Linked DNA regions of Lytechinus pictus. The protein of the gene in region 1 interacts with the protein of each later gene in a pairwise test. Links are inferred from orthologs where the notes say so. Each region holds a gene or a part of one and is shown on either strand. Other genes may lie near its edges. The genes, in order: DNA replication complex GINS protein SLD5-like and DNA replication complex GINS protein PSF2-like.

The links.
Region 2: the proteins of DNA replication complex GINS protein SLD5-like (region 1) and DNA replication complex GINS protein PSF2-like interact in a two-hybrid assay, tested with the Drosophila melanogaster proteins (2 studies listed by BioGRID). The link is inferred for Lytechinus pictus from reciprocal best matches to the Drosophila melanogaster genes Sld5 and Psf2.

Annotation. Positions count from the first base shown.
Region 1 is NC_087256.1:9,160,396-9,168,191, forward strand, and holds the start of DNA replication complex GINS protein SLD5-like, read right to left. Parts: upstream 3,100-7,796; coding exon 3,001-3,099; exon of another isoform or gene 2,915-3,000; intron 1-2,914. Other genes in the region: large ribosomal subunit protein bL35m-like, read left to right, coding at 3,229-3,268, 6,059-6,404, 7,365-7,496.
Region 2 is NC_087246.1:48,469,800-48,477,073, forward strand, and holds the start of DNA replication complex GINS protein PSF2-like, read right to left. Parts: upstream 3,143-7,274; 5' UTR 2,888-3,142; intron 2,164-2,887; exon of another isoform or gene 1,998-2,163; intron 844-1,997; 5' UTR 378-843; coding exon 173-377; intron 1-172. UniProt on the Drosophila melanogaster protein: The GINS complex plays an essential role in the initiation of DNA replication.

The DNA.
Region 1 (7,796 bases):
CCCCCCTCCACACACCCAAAATATATTTCAGGAGCAATCTTCCAATTGTATTTTATAAAGAGGACTTTTAGTTGAAATTTACTCCTCAATATACGAAAAAACATAGAGTATATAGGGGTGTGGGCTACTAAAACTAAAGCACTAGCCATTTGTTTTTCTTTACAAATTGAAAGAAGGGAAACCCCCCTACACACACCCAAAATATATTTCAGGAGCAATCTTCCAATTGTATTTTATAAAGAGGACTTTTAGTTGAAATGTACTCCTCAATATAAGAAAAAACATAGAGTATATAGGGGTGTGGGCTACTAAAACTAAAGCACTAGCCATTTGTTTTTCTTTACAAATTGAAAGAAGGGAAACCCCCCTACACACACCCAAAATATATTTCAGGAGCAATCTTCCAATTGTATTTTATAAAGAGGACTTTTTGTTGAAATTTACTCCTCAATATACGAAAAAACATAGAGTATATAGGGGTGTGGGCTACTAAAACTAAAGCACTAGCCCGTTGTTTTTCTTTACAAATTGAAAAAGAGGAAAACCCCCCAGCACACACCCAAAATATATTTCAGGAGCAATCTTCCAATTGTATTTTATAAAGAGGACTTTTAGTTGAAATTTACTCCTCAATATACGAAAAAACATAGAGTATATAGGGGTGTGGGCTACTAAAACTAAAGCACTAGCCCGTTGTTTTTCTTTACAAATTGAAAAAGAGGAAAACCCCCCAGCACACACCCAAAATATATATCAGGAGCAATCTTCCAATTGTATTTTATAAAGAGGACTTTTAGTTGAAATTTACTCCTCAATATACGAAAAAACATAGAGTATATAGGGGTGTGGGCTACTAAAACTAAAGCACTAGCCCGTTGTTTTTCTTTAAAAATTGAAAGAAGGGAAACCCCCCTCCACACACCCAAAATATATTTCAGGAGCAATCTTCCAATTGTATTTTATAAAGAGGACTTTTAGTTGAAATTTACTCCTCAATATACGAAAAAACATAGAGTATATAGGGGTGTGGGCTACTAAAACTAAAGCACTAGCCATTTGTTTTTCTTTACAAATTGAAAGAAGGGAAACCCCCCTACACACACCCAAAATATATTTCAGGAGCAATCTTCCAATTGTATTTTATAAAGAGGACTTTTTGTTGAAATTTACTCCTCAATATACGAAAAAACATAGAGTATATAGGGGTGTGGGCTACTAAAACTAAAGCACTAGCCCGTTGTTTTTCTTTACAAATTGAAAAAGAGGAAAACCCCCCAGCACACACCCAAAATATATTTCAGGAGCAATCTTCCAATTGTATTTTATAAAGAGGACTTTTAGTTGAAATTTACTCCTCAATATACGAAAAAACATAGAGTATATAGGGGTGTGGGCTACTAAAACTAAAGCACTAGCCCGTTGTTTTTCTTTACAAACTGAAAGAAAGGAAACCCCCCAGCACACACCCAAAATATATTTCAGGAGCAATCTTCCAATTGTATTTTATAAAGAGGACTTTTAGTTGAAATGTACTCCTCAATATACGAAAAAACATAGAGTATATAGGGGTGTGGGCTACTAAAACTAAAGCACTAGTCCGTTGTTTTTCTTTACAAATTGAAAGAAGGGAAACCCCCCTCCACACACCCAAAATATATTTCAGGAGCAATCTTCCAATTGTATTTTATAAAGAGGACTTTTAGTTGAAATTTACTCCTCAATATACGAAAAAAACATAAAGTATATAGGGGTGTGGGCTACTAAAACTAAAGCACTAGCCATTTGTTTTTCTTTACAAATTGAAAGAAGGGAAACCCCCCTACACACACCCAAAATATATTTCAGGAGCAATCTTCCAATTGTATTTTATAAAGAGGACTTTTAGTTGAAATGTACTCCTCAATATACGAAAAAACATAGAGTATATAGGGGTGTGGGGTTCTAAAACTAAAGCACTAGCCCGTTGTTTTTCTTTACAAATTGAAAAAGAGGAAAACCCCCCTACACACACCCAAAATATATTTTAGGAGCAATCTTCCAATTGTATTTTATAAAGAGGACTTTTAGTTGAAATTTACTCCTCAATATACGAAAAACATAGAGTATATAGGGGTGTGGGCTACTAAAACTAAAGCACTAGCCCGTTGTTTTTCTTTACAAATTGAAAGAAGGGAAACCCCCCTACACACACCCAAAATATATTTCAGGAGCAATCTTCCAATTGTATTTTATAAAGAGGACTTTTAGTTGAAATTTACTCCTCAATATACGAAAAAACATAGAGTATATAGGGGTGTGGGCTACTAAAACTAAAGCACTAGCCCGTTGTTTTTCTTTACAAATTGAAAGAAGGGAAACCCCCCTCCACACACCCAAAATATATTTCAGGAGCAATCTTCCAATTGGCCCTTATCAGGAAGACATTCATTCTAATTTACTCTTCAATATACAAAGAAACATCCTATATTATATAGGGGTGCGGGCTACCTAATAACCAGAAAATCGTGGTTTTTTTCTTCTTTTTTTTCTTCTTCTTTTCATTATTATTTTTTATTTTTTTTTTTTGGGGGGGGCTTTTGTTTGGCTTTTTCCGGCTCGCTCGCTTCGTTTCTTGCATTAAACAATGCCATTTTCAAGGTAGGAAATGTCCCTTTTCTTCTGTGCCCCCCACTTCCAACTTCGCTCCGCCGCCCCTGAACAGGAGTGCTACTAAGACATGGGAACTAGCCCCTTGTTTGTTTAAACAAATTGAAAGAAGGGTAACCCCACCGTTTGTTTGATTTGTCCTAGAATGCGTGCTATTCTGCGCACGCAAAATCCTGTATCTGATTTATCTTAGATAGCTAATATTGTTGGCTGGAACTGTTGGCTGGCTTGCTGTTGGCTAGCTTATTGTTGGCTGACTCTACTCCAGCTTGGCAGACAGACAGACCAGACCGCGGCCGCCACACAATTCACAACTTGAAAAAAACAAAAAACAATTAGTTAAATGTACGGTACCTCCTCCAACTTTTGAAGAACATCTGCAGCAGTCATCTCTACCTCCTCTTCATCACTAGAGAATTCATTTTCTAAGCTTTCGTCAATTTCTTCAGACATTTTGGTAGTTTTATTTGACTTCTTGGTCTTGGTTTCGTTTGTGTTGCGTTGTCTCAACTTTCGCGCGAATCTTTGCCCAAAGTGCAAGTGACCGTCAGAGGGCGCCTAGGCAGCTCGCAGTCTAAAAAGATGGCAGCTTCCATGAGAAGAATTTTTGGTAAAAGTTTAGGTAAAATGAAATTAAATCTTCACATTTTGCTAATATTTTATTTTTGACAGCGTTTTTCGATTTGATCTATAGTTGAGTTGATATTTTTTAACTTGTTGAATATGGTGGAAGTTTGAATATATTGGTTGATTAAGGGTCTGTGACTGTGTTGTACTGTTCAGCGCACAGCGACTGTTTTCGGCATTTTAATTCTTGTGCTATTTAAATTATTGCAACACGGAATTGTGATTTTTGTACTTGACTTGTGTGTGTAAGAATCGCACGTGCCCATGATAGTAATGTCTGAATGCACATTAGAGGCGCACGGCCAATGTGTGACTTTGCCTTTGGCCTTTGGGAGACTGTCTCCCATGAGTCTGAGAGAGATTATCTCCTATACTCTATATCAGTTCAGAGACTTTAGTTTTGTAAAGAATGGGTATCCTATTTCAGAGACAGTCTCCAATTTGAGAGACCAATTAATTTACATTTATTTTGGCTTGGCCTTTGCCAAAGGCAAAGCCCAAACTGAAACTTTGCTGCAAAAGGATTACATTGTCCTTGACCTTGGCGGCAAATAAAAATGTGATAAGCAGATTCCTCATGAAAAATTAACCCCTTTTTCACTGCTTACTTAAAGAATTCACACTCACAGTCTACTTTGTTTTGAGAAGGATTTTTGTTGTCATCCACACACAAAATTTCAAAACAAATGGGCTTCTGGCCTCAGACTCAGTGAGACAAAATTTTGGGTGGAAAAAATTATGCTTTTGTTGGCGTTGTTTCTTTGGCAAGACTTCCATATGTCCCCTCCACTAAAATTGAAAAAAAAAAAGAAATATGGAGAAGGTTTATCAAGAATTATCTAACATATATCTAAGAGATTTAAGAAGGAAAAGTTGGATACATACCAAAGTATGGCTTTATTCCGTCAGAATTTTGAGTGTGTAATTCCCAATGGCATTGGTTTATTTAGTCAGAAAAATAAATACCCAATACTCTTGGAGAGTAGACTAGTCGTAATATCGGTTGATAACCACTATGAAACCCATGGCTTTCAACAATTCCTGCTAGCTCAGTGAGTAAGGCGATAGACTGGAGATGCTCGTTCTGCAGCGAGAGGTTCGAATCCAAGTTCCAACCGGAAGTAAGAAGAAAAAAAAAAAGAAGAAAAAGAGAACGAAAGAAGGGGGTTTTGGAGAAGTATTTTTTTTAATTAGTGGAGGGGACATAAGGAAGTCTTTCCGTTTCTTTTGTTCTTTTGCAAAGCAAGTCTCCAATATGGGAGACAATCTTCCATATTGGAGACTTGCTTTGCAAAAGAAAGAAAAGTCTCCCATATTGGCCGTGCGCCTCTACTGATGCATGTACCATTTCCAGCGTGTGCATTTTCTTATTACAGCGGGTGTCGTGGTGATCATGCTAAGTCCTTATTCTTGCCTGTTCTGGCTTATACAGCTGCAGCCATCTATTTCGAGGAGTTTTTAAACATTTTAAAAATGTTCTTATTTCTCCTCGTACACAGACAGCACTAGAGGCGCCGCTGGTCCAAAAATTGGGATTGTCCCAGTCCCAGAAAACAAGGATATCCTCATAAACCAAGACAAATCATGTCTTGATAAATTGAGATTGTCCTTGTTTATGGGGACAGTTTTTTATTTTCACTTAACCCTTCAGGACATAGACGGCAATTACGGAGATTAAGAGTGCTAAAAATAGATTCAGTGACCTCAATTCCCCCCAGTTTACCATCTATTTTTCACGACTTGTTGTCTTCCAATAATCTTGTTATGAAACCTGATATGTTTACATTGACTAGCGCACTTGATTGATTTTGGCACTTGACAGGTGAATGAACTTTCCTAGATTTCTTGTGTGGAGAAATCTTTGAAAACTGAGACAGTTCCTGTAAACTGGGACGATCCCAGCACCCCTACTGTAAATCTGAGCAGAAATTGGAAAATAATTATTTTATAATTTTGTTCAATATCTGCCCAGATTTACTTTCCAATATCTAATTATTAAATCAATTGATCCAATTCCCTTAATTTCAGCTGGAACTTGCATCAAGAACATAATTGATCTCTACATTTATCCTAGTCTCAGAAGGTCCATGGTCAGATCTGGCCTGGTCAGACTTGTCTCATGTGACGCATGTGACATTACAAAATCTTATTTTTTAAAATATCATAATCAGTATCACATTTTTTATTTGTTTTCTACATTTATTATAAATAAACAGCCAAAATCAACCCAAGTTAGATAAAGCAAACCAATAAAAATGAATTTTTTGAAAAGAAAAAGAAAATTAGTAATTATTGCATAATGTTGCCTCATGAAATCATGTTTCATTATGATGCTAGCATATATTTTACAAATTAGACAGTCTAATTTGTGATATTATATATATTTATACATGTACATTTTGAGGTCAAATTTAGACCTCAAATAAAGAATGATAAGAAAAATGTCATAAAACTCATGCCACCAACTAGGGTCTTGATTTGGCTGCAAGTTTTCAACATACTTGAAAGCATTTTCTACATAAATATGACAGGAGTAGGCCTACTTTTCTGGCAGTCATTCAAGCAGTAAGCAGAAAAAAATGAGACCTCCATTTGAATTATATTTTTTTGTTTTGTGGGTTTTGAAAAGTATGTCATTGCAATTGATTTTATAAAACATTGTTGATAGTAATTAATTACTTTTGCCATTGACTCAATCCAGGTTAAAGAATTAGAATCATGTGATTCTTTTCAAACATATGTTTTTTGTGTGTACACACACTTATATTTTTATTTTATCCTACAGTTCCACAAATTCAGCAGAAACTGTTGTCACCAGCTTCTACTCCATGGCGTACTGGATGTATCAATCAGAAGAGCATTCAACATGGAGTGGTATCACCACTGACCACTCCCATTAGGGGTGTAACCCTTGCATCCCTGAGGGGTATTGCTTCTGCACCCCTCCACCAGTCCACTGCTATTCAGGAGGATCACTGGAGGAGCTCTGAACTCTCTCAAGTTTGCTCCAGGCTGACTGGGCTAAATCTCCAGGCTCCAGCTCCTAATGTTGCTAGAGGTCAGATCCAGGGAAGGTCCTTCTCAAGCTTGATATGTAGCAGGTACACCGGGGGATTTAGCTACAACGAAATGTAAGTTTTTATCAAATTTTGTGAATACTTTAAGCGTACTTCCAAGTGGGATATGAAGCTACAATATTATAATGAGGCATGAATTATTGGGAACTATTATTGATATGGCATGCACCTGTAAGCCAAGCTACATGGTGAAGTTAAAATTGATGCAGAGGTTCGAGGCTTGAGCCCTAATCACGTCTTTCAGATGGTGATGTTAAAGGTTGGTTCCATACGTAATTAATTATATCTAATTGATACAGGTCTGTAAAAACTCAAACGTATACACACACATACATGTAGTCAAAGAAGTTAGATTTTACTGTTTATAATCCTTTCCTTGGATGCTGAAGTTATGATAACCATTTCTCCCTGTCTGAAACTCTAAAATACTAGCTTTTGCACCTTTACAATATGAGGTATGATTCATTGAAATTTTTATGCCACAATATTTCAATAATGTCATTTCATGTAACTGTAGCTACAGCAAAAATAGATTTTATTGAGAGGGAAATTATGTCCATTAGGTTGATTGGAATAAAGAAGTAAAATAAAACAACATAATTGTTACTATGATTGAAATCAGATAAATTATCTTTATCAGATAAAGATTCATAAATTTGGAGTTATACATGTAAAGATTGTTCTATAAAGCAGTGATATTTATTCATATTCACAGGCTACAATACATGTATGTATTGGAGATTTTATCAACATAAAAATATTGCTTGACTCCTCATGCAATATTCAAGAATTAGTGTAATTTGCTTTGTTGTAAAGGAGAGCAATACAATATTGCTTATCCATATCTCAGAAAAAAAGGGAGAAGCTTGTGTTTTATGTTTGGCAATAATATTCTTTTAGGGATATCTGTGTTGATGAAACATCATTGATGCTTTGGTCCTTTAAATCAGATTAGCTATGAAGGGTTTTGCCTTACTTTGTTTTTTCTTTACTTTCTTTCTTTCTTTCCGGCAGTATAAACCAGAAATTTGTGAAACCTCAAGTATTTAACCATCAACCCAATAGGACAGTGATACGATTCAGTAAAAACAAAGGCAAGAAGAAGACAGTTCATGCAGTGATTGATAGATTCTATAGACTTGACAAGTAGGTCAATTTTCTTTAATATTGTCCATAGCTTGACAAGTTACCATCTGCTATTAAAAGCTTCTATAACACTGTAAAAGATGACAAATTAAAGGGGGGGGGGGGAGTGGCTGTAAAATCTCGGCTGTTGACTGCATGATTTCAATGGAAATTGGCATGCATGTTGCTTGTGACATAATTGCCGAGATTGAATTTTGATTTTTACCCTATTTATACGTATAATAATTTTTCATGAATGCAAAAAAGATTAGTGGTCAGATTAGATCAATATTAAAAAAATTCTTATCTAGTTGCGTTAAA
Region 2 (7,274 bases), on another chromosome or scaffold:
GTTCTGATTTGGAAAAAAATGATATTAGCTGATAAATATAATTGTAATAACTAGCTACATAAACCACCTCACCCCCCCCCCCTCCCTGCACAAACACATATTCCATTCAATTCATTTCACTGTCCCTCTCCCAACCATTCCATCCTCCTATCACCAACCATGAATAACTTACCGACATTCATCCAATCTGGTGGTTGGATCCGGCACTTCTGTCTCTGTTTCAGATTGACAGCCATCCAGAGGGGGACCTTCATGGGTAAACTAGGATTGAACGGTCCAACGTTGCCCGCTATCAAGAAGACTTCATCGTGGGAGAAGTTGGGAACGATCGTGACCTCCTGCTTCTCTGCCAGGAACTCCACTTCAGACGGATCCATACCCACACTGTTCAATTGTTTGGATGAAAGGTCTTATGAGTATGACCTCTCTGATTGAGTGTACACAGCCAATATTTCTCTTCAAATCAGCACCATCTGAGTTGTCTTGCTTCAAGGAATATGCATCAGAGTGCAGTCTCAAGTCTTGATATTCCAATGTTCTTTAGGAAAGTAGGAGCACATCAGCCAATCTAGAACTATAAGTCCCACTTTAATCCTTTATCTGTGCTTGTGTAAAAGTGCACATGACACCTTTAAACTTTCCCTTCCCCCTTTTAAAATTCAAATTCAAGGTTTGTTTTTTTAGATCCGAAACTGACAGGTTAATTTCTTAATTTATCAGTATCATCAAATGAGGTGAGTCTGTCCCTTAGTTCATGAAAGTACATGTAAAGGCCTTGAAAGTTTGTGAAGGCAAAGTGACAAGTTTCCTGTTCTGCGGCCTCTAGTTAGTTGAAAATCAGTCCTGAAACAAGTGAGAGAAAAAAAATACATATTGAACTTAATTCAGTCAAATCAGTTGTTACATATGGGCATAAGTACAAGAAAAAATATGATTATACATTTCAATACATTCAAATTTTTAAGTGGCAGCTCTTACTTTTAAAGTTAGAATAGCCTTAGAACAGTGTCTTTGGTTGAACCCTTCTTCGTAAGAATTATTCAACCTTTTTATGAAGCCGATGGGGGGGGGGGGATACAAAGAAAAGTCCTTAGAAAGACATCAACTTCAGACACATCCTCCAGCTAAGAACAAAACCCAAACAAGATGTTGCTCTTTTCATTTACAAAATACACAAGTTTGACCATTTTCTTGTTGATCTCCATGTCAAAACATACAAAAAGAGACTTTCAGAGTTAAAATAATGCCTTATGCCATAATCCCTATATACTAGCATAGAAGCACTTTAAATCTGGCGAATTGCACTTAGTGCCTAGCCGTAGGCATGAACTTCTTTGCACATCATACGCCACCATCAGCGAAGGGAGAAAATGCATTTTCCAGCACCAATCCGGATAAGGGATTTATCCGGATCTGGGAGACCCAATATTAAATACACGCAGCTGCTGCTTCGATCCCCAGCCAAATTAAGTCACTGTTTTGTCTTTTTTAAATTATTTTTTCCCACTTTTGGTGCATTTCAAGCCAAAACAGAATAGATCTAATAATATTAATATAAAATTATAATCTTTTTTTTTTGGTCCAGTTCTTTTTAGGCTAGCCTGCCTAGGCCTATATTATTTTTGTGAAATAAAGACAAAAATCGATGAGCCCGGCCCCGTCAGGGGGATTTTGCATTATTTACCCCCTAATGGCGGCTGCACAATCGCGAGCCATCTGTGTACGAGGAGAATTTAAACAAATATATAAATGTTTAAAAAACTCCTCGAAACAGACGGCTGCAGCACTCCTAGTACCAATGAGGTCCAACATTACATGTATGGACCTCATAGGCGACATCAGTAGTATTTTGTGTCAGAAATCTTTGTGAAGATGATTATTTTTGTATTTTATCAAAACTACAAGCTATCGTACTGTCTAATCATTACATTTCGATCTCACTAATTGAATACATTGTTAGCAATAAAAAAAATTGAAAGAAATGAAGGGGAACTTACATTTTCACGGCTTTTTCCTGATTTTCTGGGCAACTGCTCTTCTCTTCTGACTCGCGATCGAAGCTGATATGAAGATCACGTGATTCGCGTTCTCGTCAGCTGATCGGTTGGTTATTCTTTTCGTCAGACGTTAATAATATATATTTTATAATGCTAGCATTCATCGCTAATTTAGGTGAAAGAGATTGAAGTTAAACAGCGCCAGGTCGGAATCATAATTATTTTGGAAGAGTGTATTTATACACTCGATCTCATACCTGACGTAGACGGCGCTATTCAACAAATGCACAATCTATTTAAAAATAAAACAGAAAGAACGCCTTGAACACAGGCCAAAATGCCTAACGATTTCTCCGCGGCATTAACAACAATCGTAAAGGGCGCTCCATTTATCAATAAAGATGGATGCTAAGCTGTCTATGGCGACAAAATTTGCCGCAAATATTTACGAAGAATTGTGAGAAATGGTCTGAAAATGCAACAAAAGAACCGGTGAGTACCGATTAAACATTATCAATTTATTTAATAGAACATATTTAATTACTACAATGTAACGATTTCTAGATAATATTGCTTAGTTCTAAGCTAGGGAGGCCCAAACGCGCGTGAGCGGAGTCCCACTTTATTAGCACGGGTAAGTATTGGGGTGTCGCCTAGAGTGGGCTGCAGCTGCCACTTGTGCCAGCGCCAGCTGTCTACTACTAACTTGTTAGGCCTACGCGAATTACAACGAATGGGACCAGGGTAAGTAGTTCACCCAAAGCTTTGATCTTGTCTTGTCATGTCTTTATGAACCTCAGAGTCAGAACTTTTGATTGATCTTAGATTTAAAACAAAAACGAGAAAAGCATTAATCGTATGATCATTCCCAACCAATGCATAATACATACCATGTTAAAATATCTCCCAAACCCATAAATAGAATGGATACAACTTGTCCAAATTCGCTCAATCTAATTTCCCGCTGGTGTATTATTATTTCGCTGTTTCTTCAATCTTCATTCTCTCGATCTCTCTCATGCATCTCGGCGGCTAATTGGCTAAAGCTGCAAAATTTTGGCCGAGTTACTACCTCAGCGAAATCCCATTAAAAGGCGAGGGGAATTTCCGGGGGAATTTCACCCCGACGAAAAGTTTTAGTGATCGAATATCAGAAAAAAAAAAAAAAAAATTGGTAAAGGTTTGAGGACAATCCATCACAGATTTCAAAAAAGGAGAAAAAAGGGGAAAGAGAAGAGAAACGGGATAAGAATAACATAAAGTTAAAGGAGAGGATTTAAGGAATCGGGGAAGAAAAGTGAAGAAAATGAGAGGAGGGGAGAATAACAAAGAGCAAACATTTTCGCTTTTTCTTGTCTCCATATCATAACAAAACTTATGTTAACCCTTCAAGGTTTCATGATAGAAAATTAAAATTATTACATTTTTTCCATAACCTATTATGCATTATCATTATCTTGATTGTCACTGTGGTGAAATCAAATCAAGCAAATGTTGATTTTTTTTTCTCGCACGCTTCGCCCGCTCGCAATATGCTATTGTAAAAAATAAAAAGGCAAACGGGTATTTATATGTTGTTGTTTGTTGGAAATTAATGGCGACCAGTCATATTTGACTATTACCGCCAACTCGTTTGGTCAACTATTATTTTCTTTCTTTTCTTTGACGTGTCCTTTATAATCGTTCCTCTCCTTTCTTTGTTTGTTTTTGTTTTTTGTTTTTTAATAATAATTTTTATTATTATAAAGGCTATCGTATCTTACAGGTTACCGCATGATCCCGTCCCTTCTAGCGACACCGTCCAGACATCGTCCTGTCTCTCCGGTGTAGACAGGGGGCTCCCCCCGGGGGGGGCACTCAGTATATAATGCATAGTGGGTATGTGCCGCGGAGGGGACCCCCATTTTTACACTCAAATTTCCGTTCCGAGGCATAGCATTTTTGTCTTATTGAGAAAAAGAACAAAGAAAGCCGCTCCAAAGCATAGCATTTTCTTCTTTTCGAGAAAAAAGAAGAAAAAAATCCGCTCCAGGGCATCGCATATTTTCCGTTACGCCGTTCCGGTCGCAATTTTGGTGAAAAGCGGCCGCAGCTCGCTGCCCGACCATCGCCTCTGCGCTAGCGCGCCCGTCAGTCGTGCCGCCGGGCTATAGCTGCATGCACGTTCCATAGGGATGCATACGCACTCGCACGCAGGCGACCCGTTCCAAGGACCCCCGTTTTCACAAACATTTGTAGTTCCGAGCCCGTTCCGAGGACCCTCCTTTTTACAATAAGCCCGCTCCAAGGCCCCCGTTTTTTGTCTCGCCCGCGGCACACCCCTACCACTTTTTTGGTCGAGTGCCCCCCCCGGGGGGCTCCCTTTGGGATACTCTATAGTCTTGAAACTCGGAAAATAAATAGAGCAATAAACTGTTAAAGAGTCTTTTCCCGTGAAATGATCTCGCATATAATTACCAATCAAATACATGTATGTCTGTTTTGTTTTGTAAAGAGAAAATATAAAATTTGATATGGGGAGGTTCGGATTATTCGAAATTTATGGGGGCATCCAAAATGAGGGCTTTAATAAATGAAATGGTGCATTGTTAAATCAAGGTTGTAAGTTAGATGGATATGATCGAGTTAGTAAAAAAAAAAAATATATGTATATACACACACATGCATATACATTTTTTTTTCAATTTCTTCATCTTTATTCTTTTTCCTTTCATTTCTTCTCCTCTTCCTTCCATTTTCTTCTTTTTTTTTCTTTTCTTTTTTCCTCCTTCCTTTCCTTTTCCTTTCTTTTCCCTTTTATTTTCTCTTTATTATTTCCTTTGTCTTTCTCAGTTTTTTCTCTTTTCTCTTCTTTTTTTTTCTCTTTTTCTTTTTTTTTCAAAATGATAATGAGCTCTACTGAATACAAGGAATATAACCCAGAGGGAAGAGAGATACATCTTATTCTAAAACAAACAGAACAATAACCATCGTCTCATGTGGTCATCATACTCATATAAATGACATATATATATACACAAATACACACATATGTACCTATATGAACAAATAAATAATTACATACTAATCAAATAGATATATTTCTCTCTTTCGTTCACGAAAAAAAAAAAAAAAAACAGTGCATTTTGGACACCTGGGTCCCAAGAATTCAGGAGCCTAAGGATTTCCTCGGGATCGGCGATGTCTGCCTCGACAAGAAGCATCGACCTTTCAATTATATACTTAGGGCATTTTACAATGTAGTGTTCAATTGTTTCTTTCTCCGGACATGAATTGCACTGTCCCGTTGGGTGTATTTTCATTCGCCAGAGATCTTCATTTAGTCCTATATGACCTAATCGGAGTCGACGAAATATCTTTTCTCTTGCTATATACATACACATACATACATTTATGTTTATTGGTTACTTGTTGTATACACTGACATACACACACACCCACCCTCACACGTAGAGAATGGGCGGGGGCATAAATACACATACATACATTTATGGCTATTATAGTATTGGTTACTTTAATTGTATACACTGACATTTTTTAAAATACTGTTTTTATTCTGATTTCATGAACAAATAGTTACATAACATTTCAAATTTTTTTCCTTTTTTTTTTCTGTTCTTATTATAAATTGAAATAAATCACAAAATTTACAAATGATTATTAGGTGATTGCAAATCACATAAACACAAGTTAATTATACAAAAAAGACAAAATAACCATAATAATAAAAAAAAAAACCTACCCACTTATCCTCCCCCACCCCCCAAAAAAGGAATGTGGCAAAGTGATAACTTAATATCAGTGTTATCTAAACAAAGATAGGTGATTTGGTAAATAAAGTAGACAAAACAAAATATACAAGCTATGATTATAAAATGGTTTCCCAACAACTATTGATAGGATTAAAAAACACAACTAGTTATCCAAGACGACATAAATATGGAGGTATTTAAACGAACAAGTATATCAAGGAAACTGAGATACAAGTTGCATTAAAAAAATGGGAACTGATGTCTACAACCATATAACCAATACAGTGCAGTATTACTTTTAAAAAATGGGGCACTAAGCCTGTTATACAAAATATACATTATTAGTTATCATGTAACCTGTTGACATTTTTGAAAACCAAATTATAAGGTGAATCGCCACTTCTTAAAGTGAGCGGGCAACTTATTTTTTTTCTTAGCTATCAAATATTCCAAGTCCTGTTGTTTTTTAAAAAAATTTTTAAAAAGAGCATAACTTGGAGGATTATTCTTAAATGTACATGTATGAATATAATACTTCAAAAGTAAGAAAAGGTATGAAATGAACTTATCAGCTGGGAGTCCAAACATTTTTTCAAAATTAGAACCATTTATTTGAACATTATTTTGGGAAATTTTTGTTAAAAGGGATTGCCAAATAGGAATTACCCTTTCACATTCGCAAAACAGGTGGACTATTGTTACCTCACTTTTATCACAGAAAACACAATTGGGTGAGTCCTTAGATTTAATCTTATATAAAAAATCATTTAATGCTATGGCTTTATGAAAAATCTTAAAATAGAATGATCTTAATTTAGTATCAATGGTACAAAAAAAATTGTATAATGTACCTTTTCCCAATCGATAGATACTGGTATTGGTAAATGTTCATCCCAATAAGTGTATCTTTTGACAGGTGTGTGTGATCCCCTAAATAAAATGTATGAATTTCTAGGGACTTTTTTATAACTCAACAATTTATGTACAATTGTTTCATGAACACCTATAATATCAGGGTCAAAACTCATCAACCATTCTTCCGGGATGCACTCAATTAAAAAATTACATTTCCTTCTGTCTGTTTGGGGGATTCCAAAATCTAACACAAGCTCTTCAAAGATTTTGTGGCCTAAAAGAGGGGGATTAAATAAGTCTGACATCATTAAGACATTTCTCTCATGCCACATTGGATAATTAAGATACTGTTTAGTTTTTGAACGAATGAATTTGTTATACCACAGAAGTTGACAACCACTCAAGTCTGAAAATTTGTTACCATAAAATTCGACAGCAGCTTCCTCCCTATAAATGAATACCACATTCACAATGCTTCAGATAATTGTATATTACCAAGACTGTTTAAAATGCTCTCAGGAGCATTAGATTTCCACAAAATTTGAATATTATGATTAAATTTGTCTAAAAAGGCTACTCCAATCTTTTCCCATGGAGCATCAAAATTTTCATCCAATAAGTGTTTTACCCAGACCATTTTTTGAGCACATGCAAAAGAAAAAGGGTCAAT